Linked DNA regions of Coturnix japonica. Each later gene encodes a partner of the first gene's protein in a complex. Links are inferred from orthologs where the notes say so. Each region holds a gene or a part of one and is shown in the gene's direction. Other genes may lie near its edges.

Region 1 (5,536 bases):
ACTTCCTTCTGTGTGGTACTGAGGAGCAATAAACCAACCTTCTGCCCGCCCCTGGATCGCTGCTGTAGATGCAGCTCATGGCCAGGAGCGATAGACAGGACTCACTCGTGATTCCTGAACCAGTTTCATCCCCTGCTCGGAGGGGAGGAAGAGCAAGAAGGAAATCAAAAGGGGTATAAGCAGCTGCTGGTCTTGTGATTACCACAACTGTTACATAAGAAAACTCAGATAACCTGCTTAGAGGCAGCTGCGAGCAGGGGCTTCCAGAGGGGAGGATCCTGTATGGATTTGAATGGATAAAAGAAAAACAACTGTAGAAGTGGGAATCAGAAGCTGCTGAATGGACAAATTAGTGCCGTTTTCAGCCGTGCCCTGCCCGAAAACCGGCTCTGATGGTCGTTCTGGGAGCAGGATCGCTGTGCAAAGCTCCTTCCTGCAGAGGGAGCGCGTCCCCCTGCACCGCCTGGGATGCGCCCTGACTGCAGGGGGGTGCAGCCCCCCAGCACGGCTTCCTTTTGCAGCGTGCTCTCCCAGCTGCGATGGGTTGGGTTGGGTTGGGTTGGTTTGCTGCTTTATAAGTAAAGCTTTTCAGTGCATGTCTTAGGGCTTTTTTTTTTGTTAAGGCAGATTGAAGGGGCTGCAGGTCGGGACTGGCTCTGGAGGAAAGGCAGGCAGGGGATTAGTGCCTTGAGTCAGGAATGGCTTGGAGCAAAGGGAAAATAGACGTGTTTTTGTTACGCTCTTAGTCACCAAAGCTGGATTTTGGTGGAAGGTCGAATGTCTGATTCGTCGGGTTGGTGACGAGTTGGGTGAATGAGCCCTAACCCTGCAGCCATACAGAGGTGGGAGTGGGGCAGTAGGGTGGGTTCCTCGGCCTGGGTGAGGAGCGGTGATGCTGGGTGTCCCTACAAAGTCCTTCCTATGTGGGTCCCACCCCGTCCCTGTGCCCATGGCCATCATTTCTCCCTCGGAAAGCAGCACTTGTTGGGGTGGGAGCAGGAGATGGGCGACACAGCGTAACAAAGAGCGGATGTTCAGTGACACTGCGGGACATAGGGACCGTACCAACAGCGATCCTCTGAAATGTCAGCAATGCACGTGGGAGGGAAGCGTGCCCGGCCCTTCAGAGAGCAGCTTTGTGCCTCCAGCGGAGCAATTCCCCCAGCAAACAACCGGCAGCGATGGGCGAGCGGCTTATTCTGTTCCAATTCCTCCTCCCTGGATGCAGCCCGTCCTTTGTGTGGCCTTTCCGCACATCTGCCCGCATCAGCTCCATCAGGTCTTTGTCACCGCGCTCCGTCCACCTGCAGCGTGTCCCAGCCGGCAGCACGGTGGTCACGGTGTAGACACAAACACGGGAGCATTAACGGCGATGCCGTGCGGAGCATCTACCGACGGAGCTTTGTTCCGTCCGTCCGTCCCCGTGTGCGAACCGCGTTCGGCTCGTGCCACGTTTCGCTTCTGTGCCGCCGTCCCCGGGGCTGCAGATAACGGCGCTTTTGTTCCGATCCCGGTTTCCCAAACGCAGAGCGGGGCAGTGCCGGCACCGCGGCCACCTGCAGCTGCGGGGCCGTGCTCCGTGCAGCCGGGACCGACACAAAGCTGACCCGCGGCTCCTCCGCCCCGCTCCCGGTGCAGACCCGGCCCGACCCCCTGCTGCCGGCAGCCAATGGCGGCTTGTTGCTGTCGGCGGTGTTGGGGGGGCGTCCCGGCCTCCGCTCGGACCCCGCGGGACGGGAGGGGGGCGCGGCCTCGGCGTGCGGCGGGCTGCGATTGGGTGGGGGCGGGGCCGGCGCTGCGCGGCTCGGTGCGGGCGGAGCGGAGCGGCGGGGAGCGGAGCGGAGCGGGGCGGCAGGTGAGGGTGAGGGGCGGCGCGGACCGCGGGGGTCGCGGTGGGGGGGGGGCACCGCCGGTACTGGGTGTGAACGGGCCCGGGGCGGGGGGATGCTGACGAGGCGGGGCCGGGGGGCGGCGGCAGGTGCGGCCCCGGGGCAGCGCTTTGTCTCCGCGTGGGGGATGGGCGCGGCCCCGCGGGGAGCGGAGCGCGGTGGGGCCGCCCGGGGCCGTCCGTTCAGCGGCGAATCCCACCCCGGGACCAGCACCGCGCCCGGCGGCGAAACGTGCGTCCCGGTGCGGTGGGAGGGGGGTGGGGAGCTCCGGTAGCGGAGTCCCGCGGCGGGGGGAGGTAGCGGGGCGGTCCCGGTGGGAAAGGTGGGAGCGGGACTGGGCCGTGCCGCTCGGAGGGTCGGAGCCGGCATCGTAGCGGCTGGAAGGACCGAAAGGGGCGCGGATGGCCCGGGCCCGATAGGTGCTGGGGCGGCTGGAGCGCTGAAGTCTCCGGCACCGCTCCTGGGACCGCCGGACCGTGCCCGGCTCGCTCCGCGGTTAGACCCGCTTTGCTGACTTCTCCGGTACCGGTGGCACGCGGCAGGAGGTGGCTCCGTGACGGGCAGCTCCGGTACGGGCAGGCCGTGTGCTCCACGCTGGGGCTGTGCCCTCTCCTTCCCCCAGCCCCGCACCAGGAGCCCGTTGTGCCGGTGCCATCGGAGCTCTTCCCGTCGGAACTTCCTGCGCTCGGTGTTGCCCGGTACGGCGCTGATCGCGGTGTGTTCGGTTCGGGAGTCGCCGTTTGAATGGAGGCTGCCGTGATGCGCTTTGTGTATGAAATAGAGGAGTCAGCGAGTGCTGCGTTAATGATGTCCCTGTGTGCTTGAGGTCGGCAGCCGAGCTGGGGCTGGAGGTGTTGCTGTGGGTCAGGAGGAGGTTGGAGCACTGTCCTGTGTTCTGCGAGGAATGGGTGTTCCCACCGACGGAGCTCGGAGTGGTACAAGTGCTGATGGGTCGGTTTGGAGCCTGGGATGTCTGGCAGAGCTGGGATCTGCAGGGCAGGGGCTGGGCTTGGCTGCGGTCGGGCCATAAAGCTCACAGATCGCAGGGCCACCTATGGAATTTTGTCTTTAAAGGTCTTCCAACATGTGAAAAGAGTTAGGTTAGTAATACGATTAACAATATTTAATCAGATTAAAATGACCAGCATAACTCTCTCGAGAAAGGTGGGGCGCAGACTGTCAGTGGCTGAGCTGTTCCCTCTGCTTTGTGCCGGGGTGAGGAGGGTCCTCTGAGTGCCGTGATGGGACCCAATGCACCAGAGAGGGTCCGTGCTGTGGGATGGGGCTGCCAGCAGAGGTGCCTACCCAGGGGTGAAGCCTGGCTCTGTGCAACAGGAAAGGAACTGATGCTGCACCCGGAGCAGTGCTGGGTATGGGCACGGCATGCTTTGTGCTGCAGGGTCACCTGCTGAGGGGACGTTCAGAAGGAGGTGAGGCAGCCCCAGTCCTTCTTGCTTCTCAGAGCAAACCAGAAGGACTTCAGCTTCTCCTCCTCCCTCATGCACCTGGGCGCAATGGGAGCAGAGCTGGAGCCTTCCTGTTGCTCTTTGGTGTAGCCTTGTGTTTGATGCTCATCCATCTGTGGCTCCTTCGTTACCTATTGCAGAATTACTGAATAGATTCATCTTTTGCTGCTCGTCAAAGCCATGGGGGAGCTGCTTCTGCCTCGGTGGGAACGTGCCAGCTGGCTCTCACTGTGCTGGTATCGTTTTCCTTATCCTGACATCTCAGTCATCTCTGACCTGGTGGCTGTGGTGGTCTCTTTGCAGGAGGTTTGTGTTGCTCTTTATCTGAATGTTGTCCTGTTTACCCTCAGTGCTGGCAGGGAATCCTTAGAGAGCACAGGCATGTGCTTCCTGGGCTCTCCCCAGAGCCATACAGGCATGGCATTGGTGCTGTGCAGCCATCCCCCTGCCCCATAGCATGGGCTGCGGGCACTGGCACTGCAGTATTGCTGAGGATGCACCGACCTGTGCCGACACGTGCTGCCACTGCCAGGAGAAGCACAGGGGTTTGCTGTGATCTCTGGAAGAGCTGCTGAAGTAAGGACTTGTTTTCGCTGCTAATAATTTATATATATATTTTTTAGCCAAGATTAACTGAGATCAGAGTGATTTTTGAGGTTACAGGAAGCAATTTAGGTCTCCATGTCATTAACTCCAAGCTGACGCTGCCTCCCGATGCTTGTGGAAAAAAAGGGAAAGGAACAGATGGTGCCAGCTTAGGTGGATTTTATTTTTGCCTCCCATTTGGTGGAAGGTAAAGTCGTTTCGATTCAGAATCGCTTTTAAAGCGAGGATACAACTTTCTAACCTCTTATGCCACCCCCCTCAGAAAAGAAAAGGAGGGGAGAGCGAAGTGCAGCTGGGCTTTGTGTAGGCAGGATCTGATAGGAAGGTTTTCGAAGTTGGTTGAAAATAGGAGGTGAATCTTCAAATGGTTCAGATCCGAAGGAAATTCCCAGATGCCAGACTTTAATTGCACGTGAACTTTACTTGTTTGCTTGCAGTATAAACACTGCGAGCGCTGCAAAGAGTGCTTCTCCTGTGCCTGGCAAGTGGGTGAGTCTCACATTGCTTTTGGCTTTGAAGTTTAACTTTGGAATGGCGCGGAGTGGGTGGGCTGAGCTCCTGCAGCCTCAGCTCTGCACCAGAGCTTCTGCTTTCAAACCCACCCCCTGCCCCATAGCAGACCTCTGTTAGAAAATGGTGCTTGTTTCCTAAAGCAGATGGTACCGTTTTATCTTGCTCCTTGTGTCTGTTCCCATTCATCTCATGTCTGAGGTCTTTTGTCCTTGCTGGGGGGCTGTAGGTGTCATGACTCAGGGTGAAGCTGTTGCAGCAGGACGCTGCTTGCTGGGCTCTGTGCTTCAGGGAGGCAGAGGAAGGCTGTGCCTGGCACTGCGGGGGGGGCTGGTTGTGTTTAGGCATCTGTCTGTGCTGCTGGAACGAGCTTTCTGGCCAAATTACATTTAGCTCTATAAATAGAGTGGGTGTATTTGACGTCTTTCCCCACTGTAATCTTTCTGCAAATTACAGTGTTAGCAGAAGTGTGTTCAGCTTAAGGTTTCTACACATGTGTGTGTCCCAAATGATTTTTGTTTTGAACACTTCCCATAGCTCTCCTGTCCTGAGCTGTATTGCACTTTGTGTTGGTGATGTTGCTGCACTGTGTTGGGTCACACAAAGAGCTGGAGGGTGCAGGTCTGTGCTCTGCTCCTGCAGGATGTGTGCTCTTGGTATCAGAATCATTGGAGTTGGAAAGGATTCTTAAAGGCCATCAGTAATCTCTGCAATGAACAGGGATGCCCACAGCTCCAGGAGCTGGGATATCAGAGATGCACTTGTAACTACTAGCCCAGACTTCATTAGAAGTCATGTTAGCACTGAAGTTGTAGGGTTTTGGATAGCTTGGGCTTAACAGCCTTGAAGCTACTTGTTAACACTTTCAGCTTCGATTTAAGCCTTATTGGGTTCACGTTGCCTCCTGGAAGTGCTGGAGAAAGCAGATCTATGGATTACCATGCAGGAAGTGTTCATGTGAGGGGGTTTGGTAACTTCTGGCATCTCCTCTCTCCTGCCTTCCACTCTTACCCATAGCCAACAGATGGCTGTGCTGGAGAACTGAAGCACAGAAGCAGTTCTGGG
Region 2 (4,741 bases), on another chromosome or scaffold:
CCAGCCACATAGGAAAACTGGTAGCTGACCAGCCCTGGCAAATTATTGCTTGTATGTTTTAGCTAATTCTATCCTTAAATATGAATGAACAGAAATAAACAATGTGGCTTTTCTTAAGTTTGCATCAGGAGGGAGAGGTGGGCAGTGGAGGATAGATCCAGACCTATCAGAAAACCCATGTTTGAATGTAGGTGTAAAATGAGCAGTAATGAGATACAATAGATAAAGAAGTATTAGAGATCTTTAAGGTATGGTATGTTAAATAGCTGGGTTTTTTTCCTCCACTGTTGTACTGTTTTAGAAGTGTTATCATGGGCTCAACAGTGTAGGCAGATCAGTAACTGAAGAACAGATAAATGCATTGTGAAGTTTGGGAGAAGAAAATTCCTAGAAAGTGTTCAAGAAAATAAAGTTAAAAGAGTTGTTTATAAAGTAGAACTATTCTCTTTGTATTTGTAGAGCCAAATTTTGTTTTTGCTGATGTGGTAAGAGCAGATCAAAACAGCACAGATGGAGAAGATGACAAGATATACTTCTTTTTCACCGAGGTGTCTGTGGAATATGAATTTGTTGGAAAACTTATGATTCCAAGAATAGCTAGAGTGTGCAAGGTGGGACATGGTTCAATCGCCTTTTACTAATTACAGTAGATTTTGTTTTTAGTGGAAAAAAAAATTACATTTATTGTAAATTAAATGGAAATGGTTTAACTTCATTTCACTGAAACAGCAGTTTTAACCAGTTTGTCATAACTGACAATGTGTCTTTCTTGCTTTAGAAACTAATACTTGACTTAATTTAATTAACAGTGAAATTTCAGTATGTGTGAGGGTTCTGTCCTCTCCTGGGAGGTGTTGGAGAATAACAATGGTTAAAAAAAAAAAAAAAAAAAAAAAAGACTCTTGATTCTGTTTTATTTTTTAAACTGAAAATGTAATTATGGTCCCAGAGGGGGGGGGGGGGGATGAAAAAAAAGAAAAAAGGCTTAAGTTGCTGTTGAGCAGATAGGAAGTGTGTCATATTCAAGTTATTCTCAGGCAGAAGCATGTAAGGAAGATCATTTTATCATTTTTTCTGTAGTCACAGCTACTTACAGCAGATGGGACTTCTGTGGTGCTGCCAGAGCCACAAACAAGCAGTCTGCCGCACTTAGTGTGATTAAACCTTAATTATTTTGGTTCAATCAAGTAGTATTGGTTAAAAATCTTGCTAATGGAAGAAGATATTTTTCAAGTACAAAATATCCTTTCCGTTGGAGTGTTATCACCTAGCCATTTCATTTTGATTAAGTTGAAATGTTTTATTCTAACTTTTCTATATTTAAATATGGAAGTTGAGATATCAATAACAAGTTAGTGCCTTTGAAATTTCTATTAAATAATCTGCTGGAGGTAGCTTTACATGGGACTTAATATTATAGCCCTCTGCCCACATACAGCTTGTGCGCTTTTCAGAACAGGAGTATCACAGAACATGAGAGATGTATTGCTTCTGCTTGATAATAAAAGGAATCAATGGCAGATTGCAGTTCGAAAGGAATTTTTACTTAATTTTTACTTAGATCTACTTAAACTTTCAGTTTTTCTTCAGTTCTTTACATGAAAGCTCTGGATAATGAACAAAAACTATTAACAGTGCCCAAATATGCCTGTTTTTGTAAAGAAATAACAGAGCTAGAACTCATAAACTAAATTTTTTGAAGCATTTCTAGTCTGGTAAAAGATATCTTTCAGTACTACAGATCCTTCGTAAACATCATAACTGCCCACAGGAATAGGCCAATGGTGCATTTTTTTTCCTAGTGGAATTGTTAATGTCAGGCATCTTAAGTGTATATTTCAAAATTACAGTAGAAATCATTTGTGTTTGGATGTCAAAGAACAAATGAGCTGTTGCTGATTTATGTTAAAGGATGTGTATAGTGCCTCCATGTTTATTTTAATTGTTACAGTAGGCATTTGTGTTTTATAAAGTTACATTACTGATCTCTATTTTTCAAGTACTGAAGAACAGTTCTTTTAGAAGTCCAGTGTCTCATCTTATTTCTAGATGTTTACAAAAACCATTCTGCGTTATTTCTGTTGACTCCAATAAGTAAATTATTAACTTCTGTGTCTCCCTTACTTTTATGTATATGAGCATATTTGCAGTTTTTAATGTTGCTGTAGATGAAATGTTGAAGAAGTATAGTAATTAGAGGAGTTCAAATACAGTTAGCAAATAGAAGAAAAAAGTAGTTTGGTAGCTTTGTAGCTGTGGTTCTTAAGTACAAAACTGCTGCCTTCATAGACACTTATCTTTTTTTTCCCCAATGCCAAAAGAGGGACCAAGGAGGACTGAGGACTTTGCAAAAAAAATGGACTTCTTTTCTCAAGGCCAGATTGATATGCACCATTCCAGACAGGAATTTAATTTTCAATATTATCAATGATGTTTTTATTCTGAAGTCTCCAACCCTGAAGGAACCAGTGATATATGGAGTCTTTACCCCACAGCTGTAAGTGTGCTATTACAGTATTTCCCTGGATGAGTAGTTTTGATCTCAGCTGTTTGTTAAATCAAGTAATTACTCCTGTGATTTTTTTTTCCCCCTATATTTTTAGGAATAATGTGGGACTGTCAGCCGTTTGTGCCTACAATTTGTCTGCTGTAGAAGAAGTTTTCTCAAAAGGGAAGTATATGCAGAGTGCTACAGTAGAACAGTCCCATACTAAGTGGGTACGGTACAATGGGGAGATTCCTAACCCTCGACCTGGTGCAGTAAGTTTCTGTAATTTTGGGTATGATGCTCAGGAGTAAAGAAACTAGAAAAGCAAACAAACAAACAAACAAACAAAACCAAACAATAAAAACACAAAAAGCCCTACTAATGCGTACTATTAGATTGCTGTGATCTGGATGCTTTGTATTGTAAAGATTTGCTGAAAAACACTTCAAGTGATTTATTTTAAAGCTTGTATCTGTTGTTTGTTTGTTTTGTTTTGTTTGTTTGTTTGTTTGTTTAATTTACCATACAGTTAATTGTAGTGTTTGTGTTTTCCTTATTTCAATACTAAATTAATGTATTTTCCTATAATATATTTTGGGTCCAAATAAAAATGAAATATGAACCATTTGCTTAGAGATCAGCATATTACAGAAGCCAAGGTGCTGCGATACTTGAGTGCCTTCTAGGCTTGGATGAGTATAATGTATAGTTATGTCTTTATGTGCCGAAGAAAATGCATGTACCTGCTGCTAGGATATAATTTGCTTTTCTCTATATGATTTCTTTCTTTTGTTTTTAAATAATAGTGTATAAACAGTGAAGCCAGAGCCTTGAACTACATGACTTCTCTGAACTTACCAGACAAAACATTGCAGTTTGTTAAAGACCATCCACTAATGGATGATTCAGTAACTCCAGTGGGAGACAGACCCCGCCTTGTAAAACGAGATGTGAAATATACCCAGATTGTAGTAGACAGAGTCAGAGCACTCAATGGTACAATATATGATGTTATGTTCATCAGTACAGGTAAGTTCTGCATAACATTCTTTTTAATAATGGTACTTATTCTTCAGGCAATGTGCTCTAATGGAAACTCAAAATATTTACAGTATTTTTGCAGCATGTGATATTTTCATAGAAAAACAGGGAGCCACAATATGTACATGGAGAACCTTGCTTGCTTTGAGGGGCTTTTGCAGGAGGAGATCAGAAAAAAAAACCAAAACCCTTAATCAACAACATTGACAGTGTACCCTTCAGCAAATTTGCTGATGACACCAAGCCGAGTGAGGCAGTTGACACAATAGAAGTGGAGGGATGCCATCTACAGGTACCTGAGTAGGCTTGGAAAGTGGGCAGATGAGAATCTAATGAGGTTTAACAGAGCCAAATGCAAGATACTGCAATTGGGTCGAGGCAGTCCCAGGTATGTGTGCAGACTGGGAAAACTCATGGAAAGCATCCCTGCAGAGAAGAACTTGGGGATCTGTTGCAGTGTGTTCTTGCAGCCTGGAAGGCCAATAGTATCCCAGGTTGCATTGAAAGAGGGGTGGCCAGTGGGTTGAGAGTTGAGGATGGTTGCCTCTCTCTACTGTGCCCTCCTGAGGTCCCATTTATAGTACAGTGCCCAAGTAAGGGGGCCCCAGTACAGGGAAGATGTGAAACTATATCAGCAGGTCCAGAGAAGGGCCATGAAGATGCTTAAAGGGCTGGAGCACTTCTCCTATGAAGAAAAGTTGAGGAAGTTGAGCTTGTACTAAAAGGGAGCTTACAAGCAGGAGGGTGACCAACTTTTTGCATGATCTAAAAGTGATAGGATGAGGAGGATAGGATTTGAACTCAAAAGGGGGAGATTGTATGTCAGATGTTACTCAGAAATCTTTTACTCAGAGGGCAGTGAGGCACTGACACAGGCTGCCCAGAGGAATTGTCAGTGCCCCATCCCTGGAAGCATTCAGGGTCAGGTGTGATGGCACCCTGGGCAGGAGCAGACTGATCTAGTGGGTTCCAGGCCTGTCTATGGCAGGGGGTTGGAACTGGATGATCTTTAAGATACCATCCAACCTAAGCCGTTCTGCAAACTGCAGAAACATTCACAAAATAATCCCTGAAAGCCATTCTTCATTTCAGAAGGCCTTTTCCAGAACTCCTTGCAGTGGCACGTATAATGTTTACCATTGGCACAGGCTGGTGTGAAGTCTCAGCTGGATAAATGAAGCAAATTGTACAAGTGTGCATTTTTACTTGCCT

The links. Proteins that work in one complex are often made in the same cells at the same time.
Region 2: the proteins of PLXNB1 (region 1) and SEMA4D are in contact, whole or in part, in a crystal structure (PDB 3OL2), measured with the Homo sapiens proteins. The link is inferred for Coturnix japonica from reciprocal best matches to the Homo sapiens genes PLXNB1 and SEMA4D. Residues at the interface, in NP_001123554.1 of Homo sapiens: Leu80, Pro81, Pro82, Glu87, Arg136, Pro137, Gly138, Asp139, Thr140, Tyr142, Gly178, Glu202, Lys205, Ala207, Gly209, Arg210, Ser212, Glu213, Arg235, Arg242, Asp359, Val360, Asn361, Ser362, Leu367, Pro368, Thr371, Tyr375, Ser379, Asp380; in NP_001358123.1 of Homo sapiens: Glu99, Lys100, Gly101, Phe158, Tyr179, Phe181, Leu182, Gly183, Ser184, Arg198, Tyr201, Ile203, Glu208, Val240, Leu264, Arg265, Thr266, Leu267, Gln268, Lys270, Thr347, Gln350, Ser351, His352, Thr353, Asp388, Gln392, Lys395.

The regions. Positions count from the first base shown.
Region 1 is NC_029527.1:8,806,537-8,812,072, forward strand, and holds the start of PLXNB1 (plexin-B1), read left to right. Parts: upstream 1-1,822; 5' UTR 1,823-1,855; intron 1,856-2,068; exon of another isoform or gene 2,069-2,120; intron 2,121-5,536. UniProt on the Homo sapiens protein: Receptor for SEMA4D. Plays a role in GABAergic synapse development. Mediates SEMA4A- and SEMA4D-dependent inhibitory synapse development. Plays a role in RHOA activation and subsequent changes of the actin cytoskeleton.
Region 2 is NC_029547.1:38,971,311-38,976,051, reverse strand, and holds part of SEMA4D (semaphorin-4D), read left to right. Parts: intron 1-459; coding exon 460-611; intron 612-2,321; coding exon 2,322-2,497; intron 2,498-2,603; coding exon 2,604-2,760; intron 2,761-3,294; coding exon 3,295-3,517; intron 3,518-4,741. UniProt on the Homo sapiens protein: Cell surface receptor for PLXNB1 and PLXNB2 that plays an important role in cell-cell signaling. Regulates GABAergic synapse development. Promotes the development of inhibitory synapses in a PLXNB1-dependent manner.